Xenopus tropicalis: one gene and its partners. The protein of the gene in region 1 interacts with the protein of each later gene in a pairwise test. Links are inferred from orthologs where the notes say so. Each region holds a gene or a part of one and is shown on either strand. Other genes may lie near its edges. The genes, in order: abtb1, cul3 and eef1a2.

Region 1 (3,651 bases):
ATACATGGTGCTAATTGATAGTTGTGAGGAGTACGCTGATGTTAAACATGTGGCTGAGCCTGATTTGCCTCTGCCAGCTAAATCACAAATGGAAAGACCAGAGCACATTCTTGATGTTACGTTTGCCCATTTATTTGGGTTCCCAAACCAAAATTTGTTAAAGAGCCCCACACAACGTGGAATCTGCTCCTTTAAATAGTATGAATAAATAGCATTTTTATATGCTGAAATACAGCTGCAAAACAGTTCTTCTGTTTCTGCAGTATTTGAAACCCTGGCGGGGAGGAGGGACTAAAACATTGATGTTACAAATTGTAATAACTTCACACAGCTTACAGACAGCATGCAGGAACTACATAACCCACAATGCATTGCACCGTAATGTTCCTTTCCTTATTGACATCACGTGTGCAGGGAATTGTGGGATTGGGAGGATGCAGGCTGAAGGCAGGCTGAGGACAGGTGACTACTGTTACATTTATTTTAGTGTCAAAGTAGTCAGCCGGATTTGTATGCTTCATACAGATAAAATGAATCCATCTGAGCACTGATCTATACTGTCTGTGTACTTGAGCTCAGATGAGGTGCATGGCTGCCGAGTCTCCTACTTGTAGTCACAGGGGCTACATTTTTAGACACCCATAGATGCTTAATGCAGTCTCGCACTAATCAATAAGCAACGGGGGAATGAGTGATCTCCTTTATAACCTTGTTCTATGCAATTACCACAGAGCGTTGGCCTTAGCTGTATCCCTAACCACATTAGCACCGGCTCCAAGGTAAAATATACCCTATTTGTAGGGCAACTTCAGAAAGCAACTTGTATGTTTTCCCACCACCGTTTTACATTATTTTCGGTGGGAAAACTTTGTCTCCCCATGTGCCATCACCATAAATAAAGGAATGTATGCAGAGTCACAGATACAGAACATCTCCAGTCAACCTCAGCGCTGCTCCTCCCCGGCAGCCATTCTCCAGTACATCCGAGCAACCAGTTAGCTCTCTTTTAGTAGTCTCCATGGAAATAATGAGCATTGGTAGCCACATATTGGGGGCTGAGAATCAGACCCTACACTCCGAACAGCCTTTTCATGTGCCTGCGGCTGGAACCTCTGCATGGAGCCATTTCAGCCCCAAAACGCACTCTACCCCCCAGAATCGGAGCATTTTTGCATTCAATGAAAGTCACTGTTTTTAAATAATGCACAAGTTGCATCTGCATCATAATAGGATCAGATGCCCATGGCATGGGCATAGTGTACCCACCAGCTACATGTGGGGCAGAAAGAAACAAGCCCTAGTATATGGCATTTAAACACACACATTTAAACAAGTAAGGGCAGTACCCAATAATTGTAAATGATGCCCAAACTGGAAATGGAGAGCCGGACACCCAGGTATAAACTCAGTGGGGTGCTAGCCCTCAGGAGAAATCCCATTTAGCAATTTCAAATACACATTTTATATACAGGTATGGGACCTGTTATCCAGAATGCTCGGGACCAAGGGTTTTCCGGATAAGGGATCTTTTCATAATTTGGATCTCCATAACTTAAGTCTGCTAAAAATCATTTAAATATTAAATAAACCCAATAGGATTTTTAAAAATTAGTTATTTGCTTAAAATGGAGTCCGTAATTCGGAACTTTTTGGATAACAAGTTTCTGAATAAGGGATCCCATACCTGCACAACATATCAAGAAAAGAGGATTGTGCAAACAAATTTATATGCAAAGTACAAAAATAGTTAATTAACAATGCATTACATAGTTAGAAATGCCCTACGCATTTGAAACAAAAATCTGTCTTTATTGGGGAAAATGTTTATTTTTAAAAAAGGCAAATGAGGCTCATCCTCTTGCTGAAATAGAGGAAAAAAAATAGTACAGGTATGGGATCCCTTATCCGGAAACCCGTTATCCAGAAAGCTCCGAATTACGGAAAGCCTGTCTCCCATAGACTCCATTTTAATCAAATAATTCAGAATTTTAAAACTGATTTTCTTTTTCTCTGTAATAATAAAACAGTACCTTGTAATTGATCCCAATTAAGATATAATTAATCCTTATTGGATGCAAAACAATCCTGTTGAGTTTAATTAATATTTTATTGAATTTTTAGTAGACTTAAGGTATGGAGATCCAAATTACGGAAAAACCCCTTATCCGGAATACCCTTGGTCCCGAGCATTCTGGATAATAGGTCCTATACCTGTATTTCTTTTCTTTGTAAATTGCTGGCTATGAGATGCAGCTAGGCCATGGGAATTGTCCTGTGTTGTTGGAAGTGAAAATGATTGTAGTTTCAGACTGTTTTATTGTTTTTCCTCTTATGTTTACAAACTTTTCTCCCCCCCTGACCCTGCCCATTTGGAGCCCAGCCAGGCGTGCTGCTATCTGGCAGCTGGTGACACAAGATACCTAGCACCCTGGGTGCCACATGCAGAACATTCCTCCACTTTGCCTGCTCCTGCATCCTTTCTGACAGTGGCTCTAGGCAGCCGATTCTATTGCTGAGACAGATACTGCAGAGGGCAGCATTAACTATGTGTTTTATTTTATCTGCAGACACCTTGTGGAGCAGAGAGACGTGGAACTGAATGTGCGTGATAAATGGGACAGCACACCCTTGTAAGATGTGCAGCTTTGCTAAATGGCTTTATGCATAAGAGATATGTTTAAAGGGAAACTCCAGCTTCCGAACCAAATTTGTTAAAGAGTCACACACAACACAGAAACCCCTAATATACCTATCCCTGTAATCTGTTCCTTTAAAAAGTATTAATAAATATAATTTTTATATGCTGAAATCAGCTGCAAAACAGTTCTTGTCTTTCTGCGTCATTTGAAATCCTAGCAGGGGAGGAGGGACTGAAACACTAATGTTACAAATTGGAACAACTTCTCCACAGCTTACAGACAGCATGCAGGAACCTGGATGTACTTCAAAACAAACTAAAGGTGGCCATACGCAGGCCAATAAAAGCTTCCAATGGACCATGTTGGCAGCTTATTGGCCTGTGTATGGGGCCCTTAGGCCTACCTGGCCAATACCTTGTAGAAAATAAGCAGATGTCAATTGTGCATATTTAAAAATCCTGTTGGGACAAGGAGCATATCAGGGCCTTGATGGGGTCCTCATTCCAACTGCCTCAGTGAATTGGCCCCCAGACTTAAATCAAGTCCCCAGGTTATGAAACCCTGCATTAGCCCTATTAGCTTATTATCAAAATGAAAAGGTTTTTTATGAACTGGAAATATTGGATAATACTTTTTACTGAAAAATTTGTTCAGCGATGTTTTTATAATGTTCCTATCTTCTGCTTTTATACTTTTTCTTTTTCTTCCTAAGGTACTATGCCTGTCTTTGTGGACATGAAGAACTTGTCCGTTACCTTTTAGCTAATGGTAAGTAACAGCACCCCAAAACCAAACCGAACTAAAATCCTCCATTAAATGTTGTTAGATTGGGCTTATTCCAAAAGTAATTCTGCTATAAATTCTCGTTTATTTGGCCAGTAGGGAATGGGGAAACGCACAGGGACTTGAACCGAGAATTCTCAGATTTTTAAACTCTGATAAAGAGGGACCAACTGAATGTAAACATATTGTTTTCATTAATATAAGGTTCCCTAAGCAGACAAAAGATGAG
Region 2 (3,651 bases), on another chromosome or scaffold:
TGGGACTGGACTATTTAAATTCCTGATCTCAACCAGAGCTCCTGTGGCAGCATTTTAAAACGAGTAGGTCATGCACAAAAGCCAATATGTCTGACTTAAAGCAGTTCAATGATGAAAAAAGGACTAACATTCATCAACACCCATGTGAAAGATGAACACAAACTTATGAGAAGCATTTAATGTCAATTATTGCAGCTATCACGAGTATTATGGATTACTTTTTTATACAGTAACTTGAAGCTCATTAGGGCGCGATTTCGGGAAATCGCCGAAAAAGCCTCGCGAGGCAACTTCGGCGATTTGCCGAAATCGCGCCGCCGCGTGTGCCATCCCACCAGCGACTTACATTTTCGCCGGTGGGATGGCAGGTGATGGCAACTCGGGGAGATTAGTCGCCCGCGAACAGGGAGTTTTGTTGCGGGCAACTAATCTCCCTGTGTGCCAGAGCCCTTATACCACTGCAACAATGTGTAAATGTGTATCAGTGTGTATGTGAGAACTGTAATGTCTTACACTGCAAGTCCTGTGGGAGATGGAGCTAAATAAATGATTAAATTTAAAGGTGATAAATGCATTTTGGGTACAGCACAGTCCAGCAAATGCATTTTAGCCTTCCTAAATATTTAAAATGATCTTGTAAAACAATATTAAAATCATTTTAACCTAAGAGCTAAAATGTTGGTTGAAAGAGAGAGGGAATGTACGATTGCCATCTCGTAAAGTTTCAAACCACTTGTTTAATTTTGAGGTATACGCAATACAAGTTGCACAGCTCTTCACCAAAAAGAACACACAATACAGTACACTAGTTGTAATGTATGTCTATGGTTGTCATACTAATGGCACAAAAGTTTTTTGATTTTTTTAGTATCTTTCTAGCTGCTGTGTGCCTTGTCATGGCCAGCACCATTAATCAACTGAAGGTGCACAAACATTTAGCCCTCCCGCAAAGCCCACAATGCAAATAAACAGAGCGCTGCACCAACTCCCTAAGAGACTTTTTATTTCTGATAAACATCGTTTTTTTAAATGCCGTCAGTTTATAAGTTTCGCTGTTCTATGGCCCTAAGAAACAATGATCTCATACAGGTTTAGTTTTAACTTCTGATACCGGTGTGTAGTTACTTGTGAATTATAGGAATAGTTACCTTATTTATGAGATGTTCAGTTACAACTTCTCTCAGTCCTGTGTACAGCTTCTCCCCATGTTTATGGAGCACCATAGTATATGCATTCCTATAAAGTTCTTCAAAGCTTAACCCGCTGTTATTTTTACGCTGAATCTCTTGAATGGCATTCTTTAGGAGATCCCAAATGCTATTCACATATTTTTCATCCATAGTCATCTGTGAAAAAAGGAAACGACAAAAGGAATAATTTCAGTATTAGTATCAAACATGCACCCAGTTTTTTTTTCTTGCACCTTTTTTTATACCCCCCAAAACAACCTCCCAGCACAGCACTAACATTTGAACATACTAAACTCAGGAGTTTACGAAGAGTAAAGGGGGCCATACACAAACATATTTCAACTGACGATTTAAATGACCGATTCGGCAGGTTATCTGCCTGTGTATGGGCACTACCGATGGGCCCACCCAACCGATATCTGGTCTAAAATTGCCCAGGTCTCAATCGGGTAGGTTTGATTTTCCAGTTGGATCAGGGACTGCATCAGTGACGGCCCATATACCCGCCATTTTAAATTGAACATTTGTTCCTAAGTCCAAACAATCAAATTAGCTGGATATTAAGAGACCATGTATGGCCACCATTAGATTTGCAAATAATGCTGAGCTTGGGTGGGCACTACCATCCTACAAAGTGCACTATAAGTGGAAACAATATTCCAGCCAACAGAAGGATTATAACAGTATGGCAATGGAATAAGTAAGGCTCTACCCTGCCAGCCAGAGACAATGGCATGCTGCAAAAGAAACATGCATGATTACAATGTTACCTGTGAACCAATTCATGAAAAAAAAGTTAAGAAATAATGGCCTTTTACCACTATATTTCTATTCTTCCAAAATCAAACCAGAGCCATCTTGTAGGCATACGTTCGCCATCAGAGAAAACACAGAGTTGCACCCCTGGCCTTAGAAGCAACCTTGTTATTTCCTGTGTGGTATCTGCTTTTGTCAAATTCTCACAATCATTATTGTGTGAGCACACATGGGCTGCTGCAAGAGGGGTTTTACTGCTTTGTATGAAAAGTTAAGCTATTTGTTAAGATCAGCATGGGTGAATAACTTTTGCTCAGATGTAGGGGTTTTTTCAACTAATGATCCCTTGGTTTAGCAGTTTTAATCCAATACCTGGGAGGCTGCATAAAGCAAAAATCCACTTGTCCTGTGGACAAAATCCACTTGTCCTGTATTAGAGGCAAACTTAGTGCCTGTAATAAAAGGCACTAAGTTTGCCCAGGAGCAGTAACCTACAGCAACCAATAAGATGTTTGCTTTTAAACAAGATCTATAAATGCTTCCTTCTCCTGGGCAAACTTGGTGCCTTTTATTAGATAACCCCCTAAATCTTTAAAATAGTAGCTATAGGCTAGGGTTTGCACTGCTCCAGACTGCGTAGCAGCTAAGGTCCACGTAGGGTTGCCACCTCTGCTGGCTTTCTTCGCCAGGTGGGGGGCGGGGAAAAGGTGGGACTGTGGCATCATGGGAGTGGGGAAGAGGTGGGCCGTGACATCACAGAGATGAGGCTGTCAATGCCTGCGAGTCCTGCCCCGTTTTTCCTAATTTGGAAAACCAGGAAGGAGGTTTTGACCTGGAGACAGCCTTTCCAAAAACTGGGCTGTCTGGGTCAAAACAGGACAGGTGGCAACCCTAAGCCCACATACAGCCGTGCTTTCAAACCCAAATCAGCGCTCAGCTCAATGCTACCTAGCATGTTCTCAACAGACACCACGCACATTGTAATCTCCTGCAGCAAACACAAAAGCAAAACCAAATAAATCAGTTCCAAAAAGACAAAATTCTTAATGTCAAATTACTTTCTCTCGCTTATACTGTTCAGCAATTGCATACATTTACTGCCAATAGGTCTTACTTTCTGTAACAAAGGTATACAAGCCTTTACATTTGTGTTGAGAGCCATGAACAACTTTTGACTGTCGCTAGGTACCCCTGTATTCTAAAAACAGAATCAGTTATCTGCTATGCAACTACTGGACCACCAGCACCTGACTCCACTACTACACAAGAAACAGCCTTGTAGTCTCGTGTTAGAGTTGGAAAGCCAATGCTTTCAGGCATACTAAACCAATATAATGCCATTTCAGGACTTGTGCAATGGAGTGATGAGCAAAAGACTAACCGCCATATGTAATAAAAGGCACAAAGCTCGCCCAGGAGCAGTAACCAATGGGAGGCTTGCTTTTAAAAAGATGATCAGTAAATGCTACCCGCTGATAGGTTGCTATAGGATGGTGATAAGTGTAGGAGAGTATAAAACTGTTTGGCCCAAATTGTGGTCTTTTTGATCTTCAAGCTAGACTTTCAGGTGTATCTCGGAGAACAAATAGACATTCTCCACAAATCTAGCCTAAATTAACCCCCTGGCTAGGACTGCCTGCCACTGCTCCACTATGCCCCCCTCCTAGCACTAGACAGTAATGTATCTCACATTTTTAAATGCATG
Region 3 (4,418 bases), on another chromosome or scaffold:
AGGTATGTAGAGACCATGAATGTAATGGTGGAACGTTATAGAGATAACACAACTAATAGGAGAACATACAAGTGATGTTTGGTGAGTCCAGGGACTGGAAAACCTTCATGTCATCATAACAACACAGGAACAGTCATGTTTGAGAATAGATCCATTCATAAAGTATAAGCCTTTGGTCTTATAGATCCAGAGGATCCCTCAGAAGGGAAACATTCCCTTAGAACACTCAACCTACTGCAATGAGTATGATTATATGAGTATGAATGCTCATATCCAAAGTATTTTCTCAAACGCTAATCAAGCGCTCGACTCTTTCTTGAGACTTTCTATAGTATCTGCCATATCTAGGAAAAAAATCTTTTCAGAACCTAAAGGTGGAACCTTCATTATTCTGATGTCAGAAGATTCCCCATTGTCCTCTGGATTCTTTACGAACAGTGCTTTCCAGCTCATTACATGTAGTGGGCCAGTTATATGTCATATAGTGAAGTCTATGGAGTCTCTGAGCAGACTGGGGGCCATAAAAATTCTTTGACGGCCACATTTGGCCCGTGGGCCTCCAGTCAGACAGCCTTGATCTATAGAAGGATCTTCTAGTAAATAAAGCATCAAAGAGTTATATACATGGTGATCATATCTTCTCTCCTCCATTGACTAGTCCTAAATCAGCCAGTTCTTCTTCATAGCTGAGATTCTACATTCTCTTTATTACCTTAGTGGCCATTTTGTATCTCTCCGTGTTGTTTACTGGAGACCAAGACTCTGGTGGGATATGAGGCCACCAGAATGATAGAGCTAAAGCCATAATTGGGATATTATTGACCAATGGCACAAAGACTAAGAACAGTTTCAGACTAATAGTTGGTGTTGTGGAACTGGCTGGTGATTGGCTAAAGATAAGAGGGTTGTTTTTCAAATTCTGACATAGTGGGACCTGATTGGTCAGATAAAGTTTCTGTTGGCTTCAAGGCAAAATAGAATTTGGGTTATGTAGATGTTTCCAATGCTAAAGCTGTAGATATGCAATCACTATGATCAGCGATTGGTAATCCTTGAATCTGTTATTGTTTTATTGGGTCTTGCTCACCTGTAGTACCTTTGTGCAGGTTCTGACCCACAGTGAGGCCCAGTGTAACTTTCCTGCATTAGGACCGGACCGACCTCCCCTGTCAGTGTCAGGTTTAACCCCGAGTGTTGCACGTGGCTTCCCCCGTGTCCCCCCCCCCGCCCCCCATCTCCATTTAGAAATCTGTGACCGTGAGTCACCAGGTCCAAAAATCCCATGCTCATCAGATCCTATAAAACCCAGTTATAAAAAGATTGGGTCTGTGAGCCAAAAGACAAGTGTAGCCGGCCAAACATGGCCTTCCCATCGAGCTCCTGTGAGCAGGTTATACTAGAACAATGATATATTACCCATAAGGCTTTGTGGCTCATGGGATTTTAATCAATTACACCTCTTTAAATCGACTTTTGTATATAAGGTTTATGTAATCCTGGTCATGATGTCATGCTGGTGATGTCACATCAGGGGGAGTGGCAGCTAATATTTAAATTTGAGTAGAGAGAGCCTCTCATATGGAGCATGGAACAAACCCACTTACTGAGTTCTTGTTCTTAGAACATATAGAAAAGCCTTTCTGGCCTCTGGTACTCCCAGCACCCTGCAGCAGTTATTCATTTCCAGAGCATGCTGGGAACTGTAGTTCATCTATGGGAGCTTATCAATGGGGTGCAGGTTATTGCAGTTCCCAGTTGACTTTCCCCAGTCTGGACAGATTTCCTCTCTTTTTGCCATTGTGATATAAATGGAGTTTGTTCCCTGCAGGGGGCCCACTGATTATGGTTGTTCTTCCCCTTTGATCCATTAGTTCCACCCAATAGCCCCTTCCCTGCATGCACCTCTTCTCTCAGCTGTGTCAGTCACACATTTCCTCCCCTATCTATTGCACCCCTTTCCTTCTCACCATGTTGGTTCTTTCCATTCTCTTGGCCCTAACCCATTCCACTTACCCTTCCCCGAGTACAACTCTATCTTCGCTTTCCCTCTTTTGCCCCCCTTCATCCTATTTTAGTTCCTATTCACCCCCAATGTGCTTCTGGGCCTCTAGATGCCATGGTTCAAGGGATGGAAAGTGGAGAGGAAGGAAGGCAATGCCAATGGAGTTTCCCTGCTTGAGGCTTTGGACACCATCCTTCCCCCAACTCGCCCAACAGACAAACCTCTGCGTCTTCCCCTGCAAGATGTCTATAAAATTGGAGGTAATTAATATTTCTTCTGTATGGCCTCCCCATCTGCATTCTGCCCAGTTGTATTCCCAACCTGCCTTTGTGATTCAGGAATCGGCACAGTTCCAGTGGGTCGTGTAGAGACTGGCATTCTAAAGCCGGGCATGGTGGTGACCTTTGCTCCAGTCAATATCACAACTGAGGTCAAGTCCGTTGAGATGCACCATGAGGCTCTGAGCGAGGCTCTGCCTGGGGACAATGTTGGCTTCAATGTCAAGAACGTGTCAGTAAAGGACATTCGCCGAGGCAACGTTTGTGGGGACAGCAAGAGTGACCCACCCCAGGAAGCTGCTGGTTTCACTTCTCAGGTAAGAAACCGTGTCCCATTTCTCCTACAGATGTCCCTTCTTCTATAGGAGAAACCCTTAGCTACTCAGTTGCCAGCAGGTCTAAAAGTCTTGACCCCACATTGACAAATAAGGGCGCCACACGCTTTTAATGAGGAGAATAGACAAGGACGTAGTGAGAAGTGTTGGGTGATCACCAGAACTAGGGGACAGATGGAGGTCCATGTAGCCTTCCATGGTATTACAATGGTAAGGCTCAGTAAGCTGCAGGTTCAGGCAGGTACAGAAGTGAAAAACCTGTGACGGGATAAGATGGTGGTCCATACAAACGTGTTTACTCCTTATCCTCAGGTGATCATCTTAAACCACCCTGGTCAGATCAGTGCTGGATATTCCCCAGTCATTGACTGCCACACTGCCCACATCGCCTGTAAGTTTGCAGAGCTGAAAGAGAAGATCGATCGCCGGTCCGGCAAGAAGCTTGAGGACAACCCCAAGTCCCTGAAATCTGGAGACGCGGCTATTGTGGAGATGATCCCTGGGAAGCCTATGTGTGTAGAGAGCTTCTCCCAGTACCCACCTCTTGGTAAGTATCTCAAATGCCATGGCACGGGGCGAGATAACGATATTATTCTGTTACAGGTGGACATTGTTGGGTGCCAAGAAGATTGAAAGATTAGTATTTGGGAAAGATATGGAGGTGCATTGGTTGCTGTGCCATTTTTATAAATGTCCACCAAATCTGTTGACCTGAGCCCATAACCACTGCGTCTTGGCTTAAGTGACATTAGGTGCGTGATGAGATGGCACAGGTCATTGTCACCTTGTCACTATTCTCCCTCTAGGGCGCTTTGCAGTGAGAGACATGAGGCAGACTGTGGCCGTGGGAGTCATTAAGAACGTGGAGAAGAAAAGCGGAGGAGCCGGCAAGGTGACCAAGTCCGCACAGAAAGCCCAGAAGGCTGGCAAATGAATTGCCGGTTCCCTCCGTCTGGCACACAAGCCCTGCCCCTCTGGGAAGGTCCGTCCCCTTCTCTTTGAGGTGCACGCCAGCCCATCTGCTTGTAAAAGCCTGTATGTCAACGACTGGATGCTCACCATTAAAGTCCAGTGGAAGTTCTTTAAGAGGAAAAGCATGCTCCTGCTCTGTAATCTTTAGTGTCCATTTTACCAATTAAACTGGTTCAACATTCATAATGTGACGTTGTGGGGTTCTTTCCATGGGTTGTGTGGCTGGTAGAAACTCGGGGGTCCACTGAACCTTGAGAAATAGAAATAGGCAGACTTCCAGCAGCTATAGAACAAAAGGTTGCTTTCACTCAAGACAGAGGAGAAGGAAAGGCATTTTATTTTGCCAATAGTCACATCAGTGCAAGCTAGAATGTTATATTTATTCTGCAGAAAGCTTTACCTTACCTGAGTAAACAGCCATTGAAGCCCCCTCTGTTTGTTTAAGATAGCAGCTGCCATTTTAGCTTGGTCTCAGTAGCTTCCCTGCTGTGGTTCTGGCTGCTGGTAGCTCAGATTACAGCAGAAAGGGGAGGGGGAGAGAGCAGAGATGGGAGGGGAAGAGAGCAGAGAGGGGAGGGGGAGAGAGGAGCAAACTGAGCATGTTCGTGTTGTGCCCTGAAGGATTCATATAACAGTGAGTGTTATCCTTATTGAGTAGAAAACTGCTATTTATTCTGCATGTACTGCAGGGAGTCAGAAAGCCGAGCACAAGTTTGTATCTCGCTGATAAATTACTCTGTTAGGGTTCCAGGGGATGGAGTCCATGTATTTTGCTCTGCCAAGTTGTCATAAATCAGAACATAATGTATCTGGGTATCTGTCAGCTGTAAC

The links.
Region 2: the proteins of abtb1 (region 1) and cul3 interact in binary tests that used the Homo sapiens proteins (3 or more experiments, as listed by UniProt). The two-hybrid records come from large-scale screens. The link is inferred for Xenopus tropicalis from reciprocal best matches to the Homo sapiens genes ABTB1 and CUL3.
Region 3: the proteins of abtb1 (region 1) and eef1a2 interact in binary tests that used the Homo sapiens proteins (3 or more experiments, as listed by UniProt). The two-hybrid records come from large-scale screens. The link is inferred for Xenopus tropicalis from reciprocal best matches to the Homo sapiens genes ABTB1 and EEF1A2.

The regions. Positions count from the first base shown.
Region 1 is NC_030680.2:134,786,703-134,790,353, forward strand, and holds part of abtb1 (ankyrin repeat and BTB/POZ domain-containing protein 1), read left to right. Parts: intron 1-2,567; coding exon 2,568-2,630; intron 2,631-3,351; coding exon 3,352-3,407; intron 3,408-3,651. UniProt on the Homo sapiens protein: May act as a mediator of the PTEN growth-suppressive signaling pathway. May play a role in developmental processes.
Region 2 is NC_030681.2:123,798,149-123,801,799, reverse strand, and holds part of cul3 (cullin-3), read right to left. Parts: intron 1,347-3,651; coding exon 1,149-1,346; intron 1-1,148. UniProt on the Homo sapiens protein: Core component of multiple cullin-RING-based BCR (BTB-CUL3-RBX1) E3 ubiquitin-protein ligase complexes which mediate the ubiquitination and subsequent proteasomal degradation of target proteins.
Region 3 is NC_030686.2:2,005,949-2,010,366, forward strand, and holds the end of eef1a2 (elongation factor Tu, mitochondrial), read left to right. Parts: intron 1-2,111; coding exon 2,112-2,262; intron 2,263-2,340; coding exon 2,341-2,597; intron 2,598-2,927; coding exon 2,928-3,162; intron 3,163-3,421; coding exon 3,422-3,549; 3' UTR 3,550-3,770; downstream 3,771-4,418. UniProt on the Homo sapiens protein: Translation elongation factor that catalyzes the GTP-dependent binding of aminoacyl-tRNA (aa-tRNA) to the A-site of ribosomes during the elongation phase of protein synthesis.